2 linked regions of the Elephas maximus indicus genome follow. The protein of the gene in region 1 interacts with the protein of each later gene in a biochemical or structural test. Links are inferred from orthologs where the notes say so. Each region holds a gene or a part of one and is shown in the gene's direction. Other genes may lie near its edges.

What was found.
Region 2: the proteins of RAB11A (region 1) and RAB11FIP4 form a complex in vitro, tested with the Homo sapiens proteins (2 studies listed by BioGRID, with this or other methods). The link is inferred for Elephas maximus indicus from reciprocal best matches to the Homo sapiens genes RAB11A and RAB11FIP4.

What each region holds. Positions count from the first base shown.
Region 1 is NC_064831.1:55,954,477-55,962,596, forward strand, and holds the start of RAB11A (ras-related protein Rab-11A), read left to right. Parts: upstream 1-4,968; 5' UTR 4,969-5,114; coding exon 5,115-5,154; intron 5,155-8,120. UniProt on the Homo sapiens protein: The small GTPases Rab are key regulators of intracellular membrane trafficking, from the formation of transport vesicles to their fusion with membranes.
Region 2 is NC_064837.1:26,117,600-26,124,831, forward strand, and holds the start of RAB11FIP4 (rab11 family-interacting protein 4), read left to right. Parts: upstream 1-4,108; coding exon 4,109-4,267; intron 4,268-7,232. UniProt on the Homo sapiens protein: Acts as a regulator of endocytic traffic by participating in membrane delivery. Required for the abscission step in cytokinesis, possibly by acting as an 'address tag' delivering recycling endosome membranes to the cleavage furrow during late cytokinesis.

The sequences.
Region 1 (8,120 bases):
ATCTGGTAAATGCTGTGTTCAATACAGGTAAAAAAAAAAAAAAGATTTCATCAGAGCAGAATTTCTAGAGACTTTAAATTGTCACTGCACTAAGGGAGTTCCTAAGGAGAGAGACAATGTGTAGCTTTTCTCAATGCGTTTGACCATGCAACCCTTCTTTTTCTCAGTGTCTTACAATATATTTTTATAGTATTGGCTTAGTTGTTTGTAGCTGAAATCATTAGCTTTCATTTTCAGTATAACAACAACTACTGGATAAATTAGTATGCAGTAGTATGCCATTAAGACGGATGTTGGAATTAAAAACATTTTTGGAAAAAAGCCTGGTCTGAGCCTGGGTTGTAATCCCTGGGGCAGGAATCGGGGTCCTGTCTCTGGTTTCTTTCTTTGTGTGTGTGTGTGTGTGTGTGTGTGTGTGCTTTAGATGAAAGTTTATAGCTCAAGTTAATTTCTCATACAAAAATTTATACACATATTGTTATGTGGCACTAGTTGCAATCCCTATAATGTGACAGCACACTCCTCCTTTCCACCCCGGGTTTCCCGTGTCCGTCCAACCAGCTGCTGTCCCTTTCTTCCTTCTCATCCTGCCTTCGGACAGGTGCTGCCCTGTTGGTCTCATGTATCTGCTTGAACTAAGAAGCACACTCTTCATGAGTATTATTTTATGCTTTATAGTCCAGTCTAATCTTTGTCTGAAGAGTGAATGGTTTTAGTTCTGGGTTAACAGAGTGTCTGGGGGCCATGGTTTCGAGGGTTCCTTCAATCTCAGTCAGATCATTAAGTCTGGTCTTTCTATGTGAATTTGAGTTCTGCATCACACTTTTCGCCTGCTCCATCAGGGACTCTCTGTTGTGTTTCCCGTCAGGGTAGTCATTGGTGGTAGCCAGGCACCATCTAGTTCTTCTGGTCTCGGGCTGGTGGAGTCTCTGGTTTATGTTGCCCTTTTGTCTCTTGGGCTGATATTTTCCTTGTGTCTTTGATGTTCTTCATTTTCCTTTGTCCCAAGTGGGTTGGGACCAATTGATGCATCTTAGGTGGCTGCTCACTAGGCTTTTAAGACCCCTAGATGCCACTCACCAAAGTGGGATGCAGAACATTTTCTTAATAAACTTTGTTATGCCAATTGACCTAGATGTCCCCTGAAACCATGGTCCCCAGACTACAGCCCCTGCTACTCTGTCCCTCAAAGTGTTTGGTTGTGTTCCGGAAACTTCTTAGCTTTTGGTTTAGTCCAGTTGTGCTGACTTCCCCTCTATTGTGTGTTGTTCTTCCCTTCACCTAAGATAATTGTCTACTATCTAGTTAGTGAATTTCCCTTTCCCTCCCTCCCTCCTCTCCCTCGTAACCATCAAAAAAAGTTTTCTTCTGTGTTTAAACCCTTTCTTGAGTTCTTAGTAGTGGTCTCGTACAATATTTGTTCTTTTGTGACTAATTTCACTCAGCATAATGCCTTCCAGATTCATCCATGTTGTGAGAATGAATATTATGAACACAGTGGAACACTATGCAATGATAAAGATCAGTGATCAACCTGCGGATTCATCATTGATCTTTATCATTGCATAGTATTCCATTGTGTCGCATAGTATTCCATTGTGTGTATATACCACAATTTGCTTATCCATTTGTCTGTTGATGGCCACCTAGGTTGTTTCCATCTTTTTGCTATTATGAACACTGCTGCAATGAACATGGGTGTACATGTATCTATTCATGTGACAGCTCTTATTTCTCGAGGATATATTCCAAGGAGTGGGATTTCTGGATCATATGGTACTTCTATTTCTAGCTTTTTAAGGACAAGCCAAATTGATTTCCAAAGTGATTGTACCATTTTACATTCCCACAAGCAGTGTGTAAGTGTTCCAGTCTCTTCACAACCTCTCCAACATTTATTATTTTGTGTTTTTTGGATTAGTGCTAGCCATTTTGGGGTGAGATGGTATCTCACTGTAGCTTTGATTTGCATTTCTGATCATGACCATTTCCTCCTGTCGTCTCCCAGCCCAGCCTCTCTACCCTCATACAAGTTGCCTGAATGTCTTCTTTGGTGAAGTGTCTGTTCATATCCTTTGCCCATTTTTTAATTGGGTTTTTTTTTCTGTTGTCGAGGAAACCCTGGTGGTGTAGTGGTCAAGACCTTGACTGCTAACCAAAGGGTTGGCAGTTGGAATCCACCAGGTGCTGCCTGGAATCCCTACGGGGCAGTTCTACTCTGTCATATCCCGTCGCTATGAGTCGGAATCAACTCAACAGCAATGGGTTTTTTGGTGTTGAGGCTTTGCAGTATCTTGTAGATTTTAGAGATTAGACCTTGAGTGGGTATGTCGTAGCCAAAAAATTTTTTCCCAGTCTGTATGTTGTCTTTTTACTCTTTTGGCAAAGTCTTTTGATGAGTAAAAGTGCTTCTTTTTTAGGAGCTCCCGGTTATCTGGTTTCTCTTCTGGTATTTATGCATTGTTAGTTATATTTTGTATTCTGTTTATGCTATGTATTAGGGCTCCTAGCATTGTTCCTATTTTTTCTTCACGATCTTTATCGTTTTAGATTTTATATTTAGGTCTTTGATCCATTTTGAGTTAATTTTTGTGCATGGTGTGAAGTACGGGTCTTGTTTCATTTTTTTGCAGATGAATATCCAGTTATGCCAGCACCATTTGTTACAGACTTTTTCCCCCCATTTAACAGACTTTGGGCCTTTGTTAAAAACCAGCTGCTCATAGGTGGATGAATTTATGTTTGGATTCTCAATTCCATTCCATTGGTCTATGTATCTGTTGTTGTACCAGTACCAGGCTGTTTTGACTACTGTGGTGGTGTAATAGGTTCTAAAATCAGATAGTGTGAGGCCTCCCACTTTGTTCTTCCTCTTCAGTAATGCTCTACTTATCTGCCAATCCTTCTTTTTAGGAAGACTATTGACCTCAAAACACGCATTGTAAAAAATGACTTATGGGGAAAAGTTCAAAAGTCTTCTGGCATCAACACCTTGCTCAACATATTCTTACCATCTAATTTCTCCTGCTTCCCGAAATGAGTTTCCTTCCTAGAGTTTTCCTTTAGAGGATGGAGCAAGTTCCACCTCCTCCAGGGCGTTCTCCCTAATTATATCAGTCTCTCTGAACTTTGGCACTTATCACAAGAACTCTCACTAGTTATTCCTACTGAACTGTTTAGTTATTGATATTCCCTCTTTCTTGGGCCCATCTTGTCTGATCCCTGAGTAGGGCTGGGACTGTGACTTAAGAATAATCTGTAGTAGCATGTAATAGGTATCCCGTAAATACTTGATTGTTTGTGTAACATCCTGCCTCTCCCCTAATGTGGATAGTGTTCACTCCGTGCACAAGGCAGTACCTAGGACCTTAGATAAACCTTCTATCACTTTATACTGGCAGAGAAAGCACTGACAATGGCACTGCATTAGTTTCATATTGCTGCCATAAGAAATGATCACAACTAGGTAGCATAAAACAATACAAATTTATTATCTATGGTTCCGTAGGTCAGAAGTTTGACATGGGTCTCACTGGGCTAAAATCAAGGTGTCAACACACTGTGTTCCATTTGGGGCTTTAGGGGAGAATCCGTTTCCTTGCTTCTAGAGGCCTCTTCATCCCTAGGCTCATGGCCCCCTTCCTTCCTTCACCTTCAAAGCCAGCAAAGGCTGGTCCATCCTTCTTACATTACATCGCTTTCACCTCTTCTGCCTCTCTCTTCCACTTTTAAGGACTCTTATGACTACGCTGGGTGCACATGGTTAATCCAGAATAATCCATCTATTTTAGGTCAGCTGATTAGCAACTTTAATTCTTCTTTGCCATGTAACCTAACATATTCAGTTTCCACGGATTTAGGGCATGGACTTTTTTGGAGGGCCATTGTTTCTGCCTACAAGTACCCTTCCCCAAAAGTCTAAATTGAGAGTTTGTATATAGGCAGTATGTACGGCATGTTACAATAAATGGGAAAGAGCTCTGTGGAATTACAAAACTCTCAAATATAAGGAGGCCTGCTGTGATCCTTGGCAAATCACTTCAGTCTTACTATTCACTAAAATGGAAAGTAAGCCACTAAAATGGAAATTGCTGTCCTTTGCTCTTCCTGTTAAATGATTGTGAAAACGGGCTTACTTTAAGTTAGAGGCTGACAAATAGTAAAGGCTCACAAAGTTCTGGATGAATCTTGATGAGGAGGGTGGGCCAAGTCCTCTGAGTGACATCTGGAGATAGTTTGAGAGATTTCCAGAGAGGAGCGAATAGAAGAGCCTGCCTGTTCTTTAATGGAGCTGGAGATAGAAAATTCCAGCAAAAGGAATTTCACTGAAGAAGCTTTTGAATTAGGGTTTGAGGCTAAAGAGGCTAAGTGAAGAAGCTCCTTCCTCACAAGATCCTCATGTAGAGGTGGCAGATAGTATGGAACTGAAAGGGATAATCTGTGAGGTCTCCAGAGGCAAAGATTGTGTTTTGCGAAATTCTCATTCTATTTAGTTCAACGCCAGACCTAGCGCAGTTGTACAACAACGACTTAGTGAATAAACGAACTATAATTGTGATCAGAAAAAAATTAGCCGTTGCAGGTTCCACCGAGATTTGAACTCGGATCGCTGGATTCAGAGTCCAGAGTGCTAACCATTACACCATGGAACCGCCACACTTATGCAGCCGCCTTCAGCTGTCTAAACCTTAGAAAACCCCGCCCCCATCCACAAACCCACTATTCGGAGGCGGGTCTGATGCGCTCCCAGCGCCGGTTCCGGCAAGGCAGTGCGAGGTGCGTATGGAATGAACGAGAGGCCATTAACGGCGTGATCAGCTGGGCATCCAGGACTCGTTTTCCTATTTGAGCTTCCTTGAAGGACTAAGAAACGGAAGGCTGTCGCGACCCTGGCCGCGTACCACGTTTCTGGGCTTGGAGGCGGGGCACCGCCTCCCCGGAAGTACTTCCCCTGAGGGGCTGGGGCCTGCCGGAAGTGGCGCAGCGGCAGGGCGGGGCTCTTTACCGGGTCCGGCATCTGAAGCTCGGCGCTCGGGTTACCCCTGCAGCGACGCCCCCTGGTCCTACCGACCGATACCGCTGCTGCTCCCGCCCCTTCGCTCCTCGGCCGCGCAATGGGCACCCGCGACGACGAGTACGACTACCTCTTCAAAGGTGAGACTGTGGGCTTTCTCACTCTCTACCGAGTCCCCCCTCGGGGGCCCGGGACACTCCCGGGGGACCCGCGCGCGGGCCACCCCTGTGCCGACATGGGCCTGCCTCAGCCCTTCCTCTCTGTGCCGTTCGTCCTGCCGTCTCCCAGCCCAGCCTCGCTCCCCTCACACAAGGGGTCCCCACCACACACCCATCTTAGCGACCTCCCGTAGGCCCCCGCTAGCCCCGGAACCCCTCCCTGGGCGTCCTCCCGGCGACTGCCTTCTCCCTTCTCCCGGAGGGTTTTCCTCCTTCCTTCCCCGGGGCGCCCAGGCCCCTTCGAAGGGCCCCTCGTGCCATCTCCCTTTTCTGCCTTTGCGCCTCCTCCCCCTCAGGGTACAGCGGTCTCCGCGCACAGCCCCTCCGGGAGCCCCTCCGGCAGGCCCTTGGCTTCCCTTTTCGGCTGTCCTTCGGCCCGGGGACTCCCACTCCAGGTCTCCTCTGCTTCTCTTTAGCCCGGAGCCGGCCGGACGCCCCTCCTAGCCGGCTTCCCTCGCCCCCCCCTCCCCCGGCCAAGCCCTGGTAAAATCTGAGCGGGTCAGTGGCCTCCACCCGCACCCCACCGCTGCCCCTGCTATTCTCGCGGTCAGTAACCTCCCGGGCCGCCCCGCGGACTGGCAGCTTCTCCTCCACCATCCCTCCCTTCCACGTCTCTGGTGCGACCCCGGGGGGCGGGCGGGGGGCCAGGGGAATTGTGTCACCCAGGCGCGCGCTTGTCGCAATGACCCGGCACACGGATAGGACTTCCCCCTCCTGCCGGCCCTTCCCAGCGGCATCCAGCCTGGGATAACTCGTGAGAAGGGGCTGCGGATGGGTGGTGGCTGTTATCCTTGCCAGACCTGAAGGCCCAGTTCCTGAGCAGGAAAGGTTGTGCGCTGCACAAATACTAGCGAGCTTTATCACTATGGTCTGGTTGCTTCCTGCTGCAACGCTGGGAGGATCCAATCTTTTGGTGTTTTTAGAACAGGAAGGAAAGAGCCCTAGTTGGCTCCATACCTTTTCCAAAAGGTGGTGGGTAAGGGGAGGGGAGGTTGCATGCTTTTTGGGTCATATTAAATATTTATTATAAGGTAGAGAAACATGTAGTGCCCTTGGACAAAACATTTTGGAGAGTGGGGGAAATGGATACAAAGAATTGCTTATTAGTCCGGAAAGAATCCAAATAGCTTTTTTTTTTTTAAATCATCAAGGATGAAGGATACACTTTTCAATGAGAAAATAGTACAGTAAATGCTTTTTTGTTTAGTGAATGTTCTCTCACGCCGATGCGCTTTCTCTGCTTCTGAATTAGGAGGGCAGGCGTCAGTAATGTGCTGAACAAAGATCATTACTGGGGAGGAAGAAGCCATTGCTATTAAAGCTTCACAGTGGAGGGTGGAGTTTAAACGGAGTGTTAGGCAGTGTTTCTGACTTTGCCATTGGGTGCTAGGAATGACTGACTAAAGGAGGCAGGAAAAATTTCTTTGCTTCACCAATACTTCGCAAATCTTATTATACTAGCTACCCTTGTCATCACTTACTCCTCTGGGCCAAAATATGGCCCAGAGGAGTATAATAGTGGGGTTCCAACCTTCGGTATCCACCCTCGCCCCCATGCTGGAAACGCATTTTCAGAGAAGAGGGTCCTTAATGCATTTTACAAATATAAAGGGGAAACCTAGGTTCCTTTATGTACTGCTTGCTGAAGGCATCTGGGGAGATGTGAAATTACTTTGTGAGTCCCTAGAGACTTTGGGGGGTTTAATCATTAAAGTCATAAAGGTTTGTTTTCTTAAATAAGGCACAGTGGCAGAGGGCAGCTAGCTACCTTTGAAGTAATTAATTTAGAATAAGACAGACTGTCCAGAGCATTTCTCCTGTTTGGTCTGTAACTTGAATGATGGGCATAGAAATCCATTAACTTTTTAAATTAATAATTTTAATTGTCCTGAATTGGTTTAAGGAATTTAAACTTTTTTTTAAAGGAAATCTTTAGTTTTTTTTTAATAATTTTTACTGAGCTTTAAGTGAACGTTTACAAATCAAGTCAGTCTGTCACATATAAGCTTATATACACCTTACTCCATACTCCCACTTACTCTGCCCCTAATGAGTCAGCCCTTCCAGTCTGTTAAGGAATTTAAACTTTTGATATCAAAATAATTTTGCAATTAGACCACCTGTCTAACAATGATTGAGGGCTTTGGAATTGCACAGACCTTGATTCAAATCCTGGCTCAGGTCGTATGTTTGCTTTGTGACCTTGGAGAGTTAACCTTCCTGAACCTCAGTTTCCTCACCTGTAAAAAGGAGATAGGACCACTCTATTGTAAGGATTAAATGAGACTGAAATTTTAGCTTCTGTGAGGTTTCGATAAATGATAATAATGAAGAAGTTCTTGTCAGTTTTTTAAACCTTAAATCGTTATAAATATGTGAGCATTTAAATATTAGTAAAGAAACTCAAAACTTGGAGCTTCTAAAGTATTTTGTTTCTATGTTATATTTTATGTTAAGATTTCATTTCGTTGCACATTCTGCTGTTTTAAAATAGTGTTTTAAAAAACGTGGTGATGAGGATTTTCACTTTTTTAAAGTTTTTACAAGATGTGAATCAGTTTTTTAAAACTTCAATGCTTATTATTTAGCCATATTCTTTTATAAATCATATTTAAAAAATATTTTATGTAATGATTATATTTATTAATCAGTATAGTAATGATATTTTAAAGGGAAGGAAGAATAATTTCATTTTTAAATGGTTTTATTCTACAGAGAAGCTGTATGTCTGTTAGAAGGCTTACCTAGCAAACTAAACAGTGAGAGAGTTGGGAGATAGTTTGTAACTGTAACTGATGAAAATGAAGGGATTTTGTGATTAGGATAGGATGTGATTAGAATTCCCAAATGGGAATTCGATGTGGGGAGAGCAGGACAATTATTCTAAA
Region 2 (7,232 bases), on another chromosome or scaffold:
GTTTCCTGGGTGCCCCCTCCCCAACAAGGGTTTACGCGGCAAAGAGGAAGCACAAGGTCTCGAGATGCCCTCTTGCACCCCAGAAGCGCCTCAGTCCAACTGTGGTCTCGGCACAGCCGTGGGCTAGGTCTTGGCAGCTCCGTCTCCAAACAGTCGGCAGCTGTGTCTGCTGACAGAGACATATTTTAGGACAGGTGAAGAAGGAAAATAAGTTCACACGACCTTCCTCCGTTCCAAAGCGATAATTATTCAGAGTTAAAAAACCAGTAGGCCGTGAACAGGAGAAACTGTGAATCCTGTCCCACTTCCAGACAACATGCATGATGAAGTCGTGGTCCATAGGTTAAACCGTAGAAATGTTTCCTCTTTGAAACTGGTTCTAAACAGATTCATACTGACTGACACACATGATAACCACCAGGTGCCAGGTACTGTGCCAGGCCCTGGCCAAGGCGATTTATATTCATTTCTTACTGAAAAAAAAAAAAAAACAACTTTCAGGAACTCTGTAGGGTAGGACTACTGCCCCCACTTTACAGCTGGGAAGACTGAGGCTCAGAGAAGCTAACTTCTCCAGAGTGACAGAGCTAAAAGACCTTGGTGCCCAGCCCAGCTGTTTTGAGTTCCAAAGCCTGCCTCTTATTAATCTTTAATGATGTCCACGTGATATTTATATCGCATACATTCGTTTTCTGTGGCTGCTGTAAGGAATGATCACAAACCGTGTGGCTTGAAAGAAGTTTATTCTCTCACAGTTCTGAAGGCCAGAAGTCCAAAGTCAAGGTGTCAGCACGCTGCGCTCATTCCTGAAAGTCTCTTTCAGCTCTGTGGTGGCTCCAGGTATTCTGTAGCTTGTGGCCACATCACTCCAATCTCTGTCTCGGTGGTCACATGTCCTTCTCCTCTTCTGTCTGCCATCAGATCTCCTTCTGCCTCGCTTTTATAAGGATATTTGTGGTTACATTTAGGGCCCTCTGGGATGACTCAGGATAATCTCCCATCTTGAGACCCTTAATCACACCTGCAAAGACCCTTTATCCCAATAAGGTAACACTTACAGGTTCCAGGGGTGGTGGTGGTTGTCAGGTGCCACTGAGTCAATTCATGGCGACCCCATGTGATGCACATATCTTTTGCGGGGGGGAGGGACATTTTTCAGCCCACTGTACCATATTTGTCCATTCCTTAATTTATTGCTGCACGGACCTGAACTGTGTGTCTGCTGTGTATCAGACACTGTGCTAGGAGCTGGAGAAATAAGCACCTCATGGTTGTTCCTGTCCTGGAGGCAACCATGACAAAGTGAAAACAGGTGTGACTACACCTTTCCTACGTGTTTTCCAGCTACTCCTGTGACCAAATAACAGGAATAAGAGGTGATAAAGATAATCATAACAACAGCCAGCACTTACCTACCAGCACTGTTCTGGCATTTATTAACTTATTTGACCCTCACAAAAGCCTTATGTCATAGGGGCTATTATTATCCCCACCTTACAGTGGGGGAAATTGAGATGCAAGGGGATTAAGTAACTTCCCCAAGGTCACACAGTGAGAAGTAGCACAGACAGAATTTGAACTCAGGCAGTCTGGCTCCACAGTCTGTACTTTTCACCTGTCTGTACAGAATGCTCAGGAGCACAGGGGAGAGGCAAGCAAGGAGGTGAGGGTGGGTGTTGTGGTCAGGGGAGGCTTCCTGTAGGAGATGCCACTCCTACCGAATCTGGAAGGACAGGAGTTGGCCAGATGAAGTGGAGTGGGGGACAGGGAAGGAGTGAGGATCCCCAGGCAGAGGGAAGAGCTGCGGTGAGAGAAAATGGGCCTGAGCTGACTGTGGAGATCAGGACCCCAAGGGCAGGCAGCAACCCCAGCTTCACTCCCCACCTCCCTGCCTGAGGACTTGTTGGATCCCCATGGGCCAGCCACTTCCCCCTCCCACCCCACTTGATCCTCTCCCTACTTACCCTTCCCCACTGGGCAGGTGGAAGGGGATGTAACATCCAGACTCTTGCATACATTAGTTCTAATCTTCAGTCATCCACCCATAAGGGAAGTACTGTTATTATCCCCATTGTACAGATGAGAAAACCTAGACTCAAAAATAGTGTATCCTGCTGAGGGGCATCCAGCTAGCAGAGAAGCCCGCACTCTTCCCAGCACCTCCCCTTCACCCCCCTCCTGCATGGCCTCCCCTTTCCTGCTTTCTCACATTTTTTAGACTCTCTGATCCTCAAACCCACAAGTCTCTTCCCAGGAGGTGCTGCCTTACATGGCTCCTGGAAGAATTAGTATCTCAAGGGGAAGGGATAGCTAAAGACCAGGTTTGCCCCTGGAGCTGGGGCAGGAAAAGGGGGCAGATCCACTGTCAGGGAAGTTCCAAGGTGGCCCCTGTACGGGGGGCATTTTGGGGTTGGGCAGGAAGACCTCAGAGGTGGAAACTGAGGCCCAGAGAGTTGAGGCCAGCAGCCCCTGTGGCAGAACTAGGCCCCAGCCACCCCTGAGCTCCCTGTCTGAGTCCTCACACTGCTTTCTACTCTCTGCTCCTGCAGGTGGTGGGGGAGGGGGCATGATGTTGAGGACAGCAGGCCCTTAACCACTTAATTCAAGGGCCTCCCCGGGGCTGGAGACCAGGGGCATGAAAGTGATTAAGACATATTCTGCCCTGGAGTGGTGGTGGAGATGGGCATGCCACCAGGGAATTATAGAGCTAAGGGGGCATCTGGAAAAAGGGCCCAGAACTCAAACTGGGAGGCAAGGTGGAATGCCATCCAGAAAGGCTTCCTGGAGGAGGAAACCTCTGCATGGAGCCAGAGAGCATAAATGAGGGTCAGTTCAGCCAAGGCCTGTATTCAGGTCCAGGGCAACTGGTGCCATAAGGGTCTGATGTGTGGAGTGATGAGGTGGAGGAAGGAGAGCCAGGCTGGGTGCTACAGGGCCCTGTGAGCCCAGGTAGGAATCCCGCCAGGAGGAGCTGGGGCAAAAGCCCAGCTGAGCACTGCTGGTTGAAGGGGGGAAGTCCAGGCTGTAAGATGTGCAGGCTGCTCTGCCTGCCACCTGGCCTCCTGCAGCCCTGTGGCCTAGCGGAATGGCCTTGCCTTTCCCTCCTCTGAGGAGCCCCACCTGTCCCTGGTCTTCTCTTTACCTCCCCTGTCCCAGGGTCCAGTTCCAGGCTAAGGCCTGTTCCCTGCTCTTTCTCTCTGTGCCCTTCCCCAGACCCCCTCTGGCCCTGGAAGATGCTGGGCAAAGCGCTGTCTGGAACGCCTGTGTGGTCCTAAAACCAGGGGTGTCTGCTCTCTCCAAGGCTGCACCGAGAAGGTTCAGAGTAGGCAGGGGTATGAATCCTGACCCTGCCTGTCACAGCTTCGTGGCCTGGTGTAGGTAGTCGGACCTCTCTGGGTCTCACTTTCTCATCCTTGAAAAGAGGGTAATGATCGAACACACAAAAAAGACTAGGGAGGACCTAACGAGATAACTGCGGAGGATCGGGAACATAGTGGGTGAGCGCTTGGCGAATACGAGGTACCCACAAAGGGAGGGCTAAGTGAGGACGGGCTGACCGTGAGGTGCAGGCCCTGAGGGCTGAGAAGAGGCTGTTGGACGCCACGGCGGGTGCTCCGGGGGCTCGGACCTCGTAACTAAAGTCTCAAAGCCGGGCAAGAGGGTGGGTGGGCGCGGCCGCTGCGCAGCTCTGAATTTCCGCCACGTCCCGCGCTCGGAGGCGGTCGGGGCGCGCGCCCCCCTCCCGGCTTTGCAGGGGCAGAGAGCGGGCTTACGCCGAGGGAAACCGAGTCCGCGGCGGCGGCGGTGCGCGCGGGCGGCCCCACGCGGGGAGGAAGCGCGCGGCTCCTTTTGTCTGCCGCATCTCCTCCGCCCCCCGCGCGCTCCCGTCCCCGCCCGCCCGCCCGAGCGGCGGGGGCTGCGGCGCCGCTGCTGACACGGATCGGCCGCCGCCACCGCCGTCGCCGGGCGGAGGCTGCGCACCGCAGAGCCGCGAGGGCGGGCGGCGGCGGCGGCCCCGGAGGCGCGCGGCGATGGCGGCGGCGGCGCAGGGCGGGCGGCGGCGGCGGCGCGCGGCGCGGGGCTCGGGCTAGCTGTGCGGCCGGCCCGGATGGCGGGCGGCGCGGGCTGGGCGGGCGCCCCCGCGGCTCTGCTGCGCTCCGTGCGCCGCCTGCGCGAGGTATTCGAGGTGTGCGGCCGTGACCCCGACGGCTTTCTGCGGGTAGAGCGCGTCGCGGCGCTGGGACTGCGCTTCGGCCAGGGCGAGGAGGTAAGGGGCCACAGCGGCGGGAGGGGGCACCCGGGTTCCCCGCGAGCCTTCGTTCCCCCCACCAGGCCCTTCGGGTTGGCCTCCTCCCAAGCCGACCCTTGACACCACGACCACCCTTCCTCTCCCCCGCCCCCCCCAGCTTCTCAGCCTTTTCACCTGCCCCGGACAAGCCTCTCCGTCCACAAACCCAAGGTGGTGGTGGCCTTCTTCCTGGGAGAAATCCCTCCTCCCCCTGCCCTGTCAGACTGCCTGTGCCAACCTGAGCTGAGGACCTCGGACCCCGGGGTATCCCCTGCCCTGCCGGACCCCAGCCTGTGCTGCGGGTGTCGAATGTCATGCCCAGGGTGGCCTCCCTGTCCACCTCCCTCCCTGGCAGAGCTGGTCCCTCCGCCTGATCTACAAACCCACTCAATGTGGGGTGGGGAGGAGCTGTCAGAATCTGGACTCAGGACCCCCCTCCCCATTTCTACCCTGCGGAGGCCAGGACGCAGAGGTCTGGAATTCCGTGACTGGTAAATAGGTACTCTCCCCACTGGGCCTAGCCGAGGGGTAGAGGGGGCCCCTAGGGGCACCCAGCTGCTTTGGTGCCTTTGCTGCCTGCACCCACCCTGCCTGGAACACAGAAGGAGGGGTCTGTGATGGGGCCACCCTGGATTCTTGGTAGTGCCTGGTGACCCTCCATTCAGGCTCTGATAGGCAGGGCTGGCTGGCAGCTGACCCTGTTGGCTGCAGCAGGCTGGCCAGAGCCAAGCTTGCCGGGTGGGAGCTGAGCAGAGCAGCCCCCACGGGTGGGGCTGGGTCTGTTTGGGGAAAGCAAGCACAGTGCTGACTGTTAGCAGGACTGCAGTCATGGCCAGTGAGGGGTGGGCAAAGAACATCAATAAATGCCACAACAGACCAATGTTTTCAAAGCCACCTAAGGCTTTGGGTCTTGCATGGGGAGACTGGGGCCACTGGCCTCAAATGGGCTCTATTTGGTACTGTGTTCCTAGGACAGCTCGAGCCTGGTGTTCTAGAACATGAGAGAAGCTGGGAATGGCCACATAGGGCCCGTACCTCCCTGTCACGTATCAAGTGGGAGGTGATGGACAGTCTCTCCACCAGCACCTGGGCATGGACCTGGGGGTGCCTGAGAGCAGAAGGTGGAAGGGAATGAGGCAGGTGTCAGGTGTGAGAACTCAGGTACACCAGCCCAGGGAGCTCATGAGGCAGTTCCCGTTAGAGCCTGCCAAGCCCTTTTAAGGGCCACAGCCACTTTCCCCCTCTGCAGGGCTTTGCTCACGGGCATTTCCTGCAGCCACCATGATCCCTGTCCTTCCCCCAAGGCCAGCCAAGCTTCTTCCCACTCTTCCGTAGTGACTCCCAGCTGAGGCAAGGAGCAACCCCCAAGCATGGGGCATGCCCCCAGCAAGCCTGGTCACCTGATCCCGAACCTGGACAGCTCCTGTTGTTAGACTCTTCTCCCTCACAGACTCTACAGCCCAAACCTGCTTGTCACTTGGTCATCCCAGTTCTGCACGTTGACTCACATGGTTCTCTCTTCTACGTGGCAGCCTTTAAATGTTTGAAAACAGCGCTCATGCCCCCTTCACTCCTTCACACCCACTCACTCCATCTACCCTTAAAAAAAAAAAAGTTACCATTAAGTCGATTCCTACTCATGGCGACCCCACATGTGCAGAGTAGAACTGCACTCCTTAGGGTTTTCAAGGCTGTGACCTTTCAGAAGCAGATTGCCAGGCCTTTCTTCTGAGGCACGTCTGGGTGGGTTTGAACTGCCAACCTTTCAGCTAGTAGCGCCTAACCATTTGCATCACCCAGGGACTCCCATCTTCCCTATTCCAGGCCAAGTTCCCCTAGCTCCTGAAGCCCCCAGCCATTTCCATATCACCTGCAGGGGCCAAACTGCTGGCTTCTGGCCCTGGAGCTGCTGTGGGCTAATTTTGTGACTCAGTTTTCCTAGTGATATAATGAAGGGGCCAGACCAGGAGACCCCACCCCCACCACCAAGGACTGTTCCAGCTCCAACACCTCACACGTAAACGTGGGCTCAGGGTACAGCTGCCTTTTGGCAGATGTGTGGTGCATCACACACTCCACTCCTGTTAAGCTTGTGGGCACCCAGACTCCCAGGGCTCCTTCTCCGGAACCACCGCCAAGCCAGAGACCCCCCCACCCTGGGGCAGGTCAGTGATGTCTTTTTTTTTTTTTTAAAGCATGCTCATATATTATTAGAGAAGCGGTTTATATGGGAAACTATAGACAAGCAAAAATAAAAGTATTGCTATTCCATCTCCCAGGGAGCAGTGCTGTGACACCCTAGCCACAGCCTTCCAGAGCCGTTTCTATGCGTATACAGAGGTTTTCTTCATAAAATGAGATCATACTGTGCATACTGTCTTGTAACCTAATTTATTTGCCCGTGTACTAGTCCCGCTTTTCTGCTCCAGTAAATTTTCATCTCGTTTAAATACACAGACCCTTATTCAGGTTTCTGCACTGGACTCCCAAATGTCCATTTTTGTTGTTGTACTCAAACCAGTTTTCTCTCCGGGACTGTGCAGTGGGTATATGTGGTTATCGTGACCCTTAGGTCTCTCTTTTGTAGCACAGTTCTTTTTTTTCTTTTTTTCCTTTTAATAGCCCTGTTTTTGAAGATAATCAGGCCTGTTGTCCTGCATCAAAAATTCTTCATCTGAGCCTGTTACTTAACCCTTATCCCTGTTAAATTCCATCTTGCTCATTTCATCTCACTCTATCTGCCAATAGAGAGAATTTCCAATCGTGCCTCTGCCACTCAGACGCTATGCTGCCTGCAGGTTTGGAGATGCGAGTGCTTTGTGTGTCTCAGTCCGCAAGGCTGGTTAAAGACGCAGGGCAGGACCACGGACAGGGCCTGGCGCTGGTCAGGGTGGTTCAGCTCAGGCTGTGTGGAAATACAATTGACATCACTGCACAGCCAAGC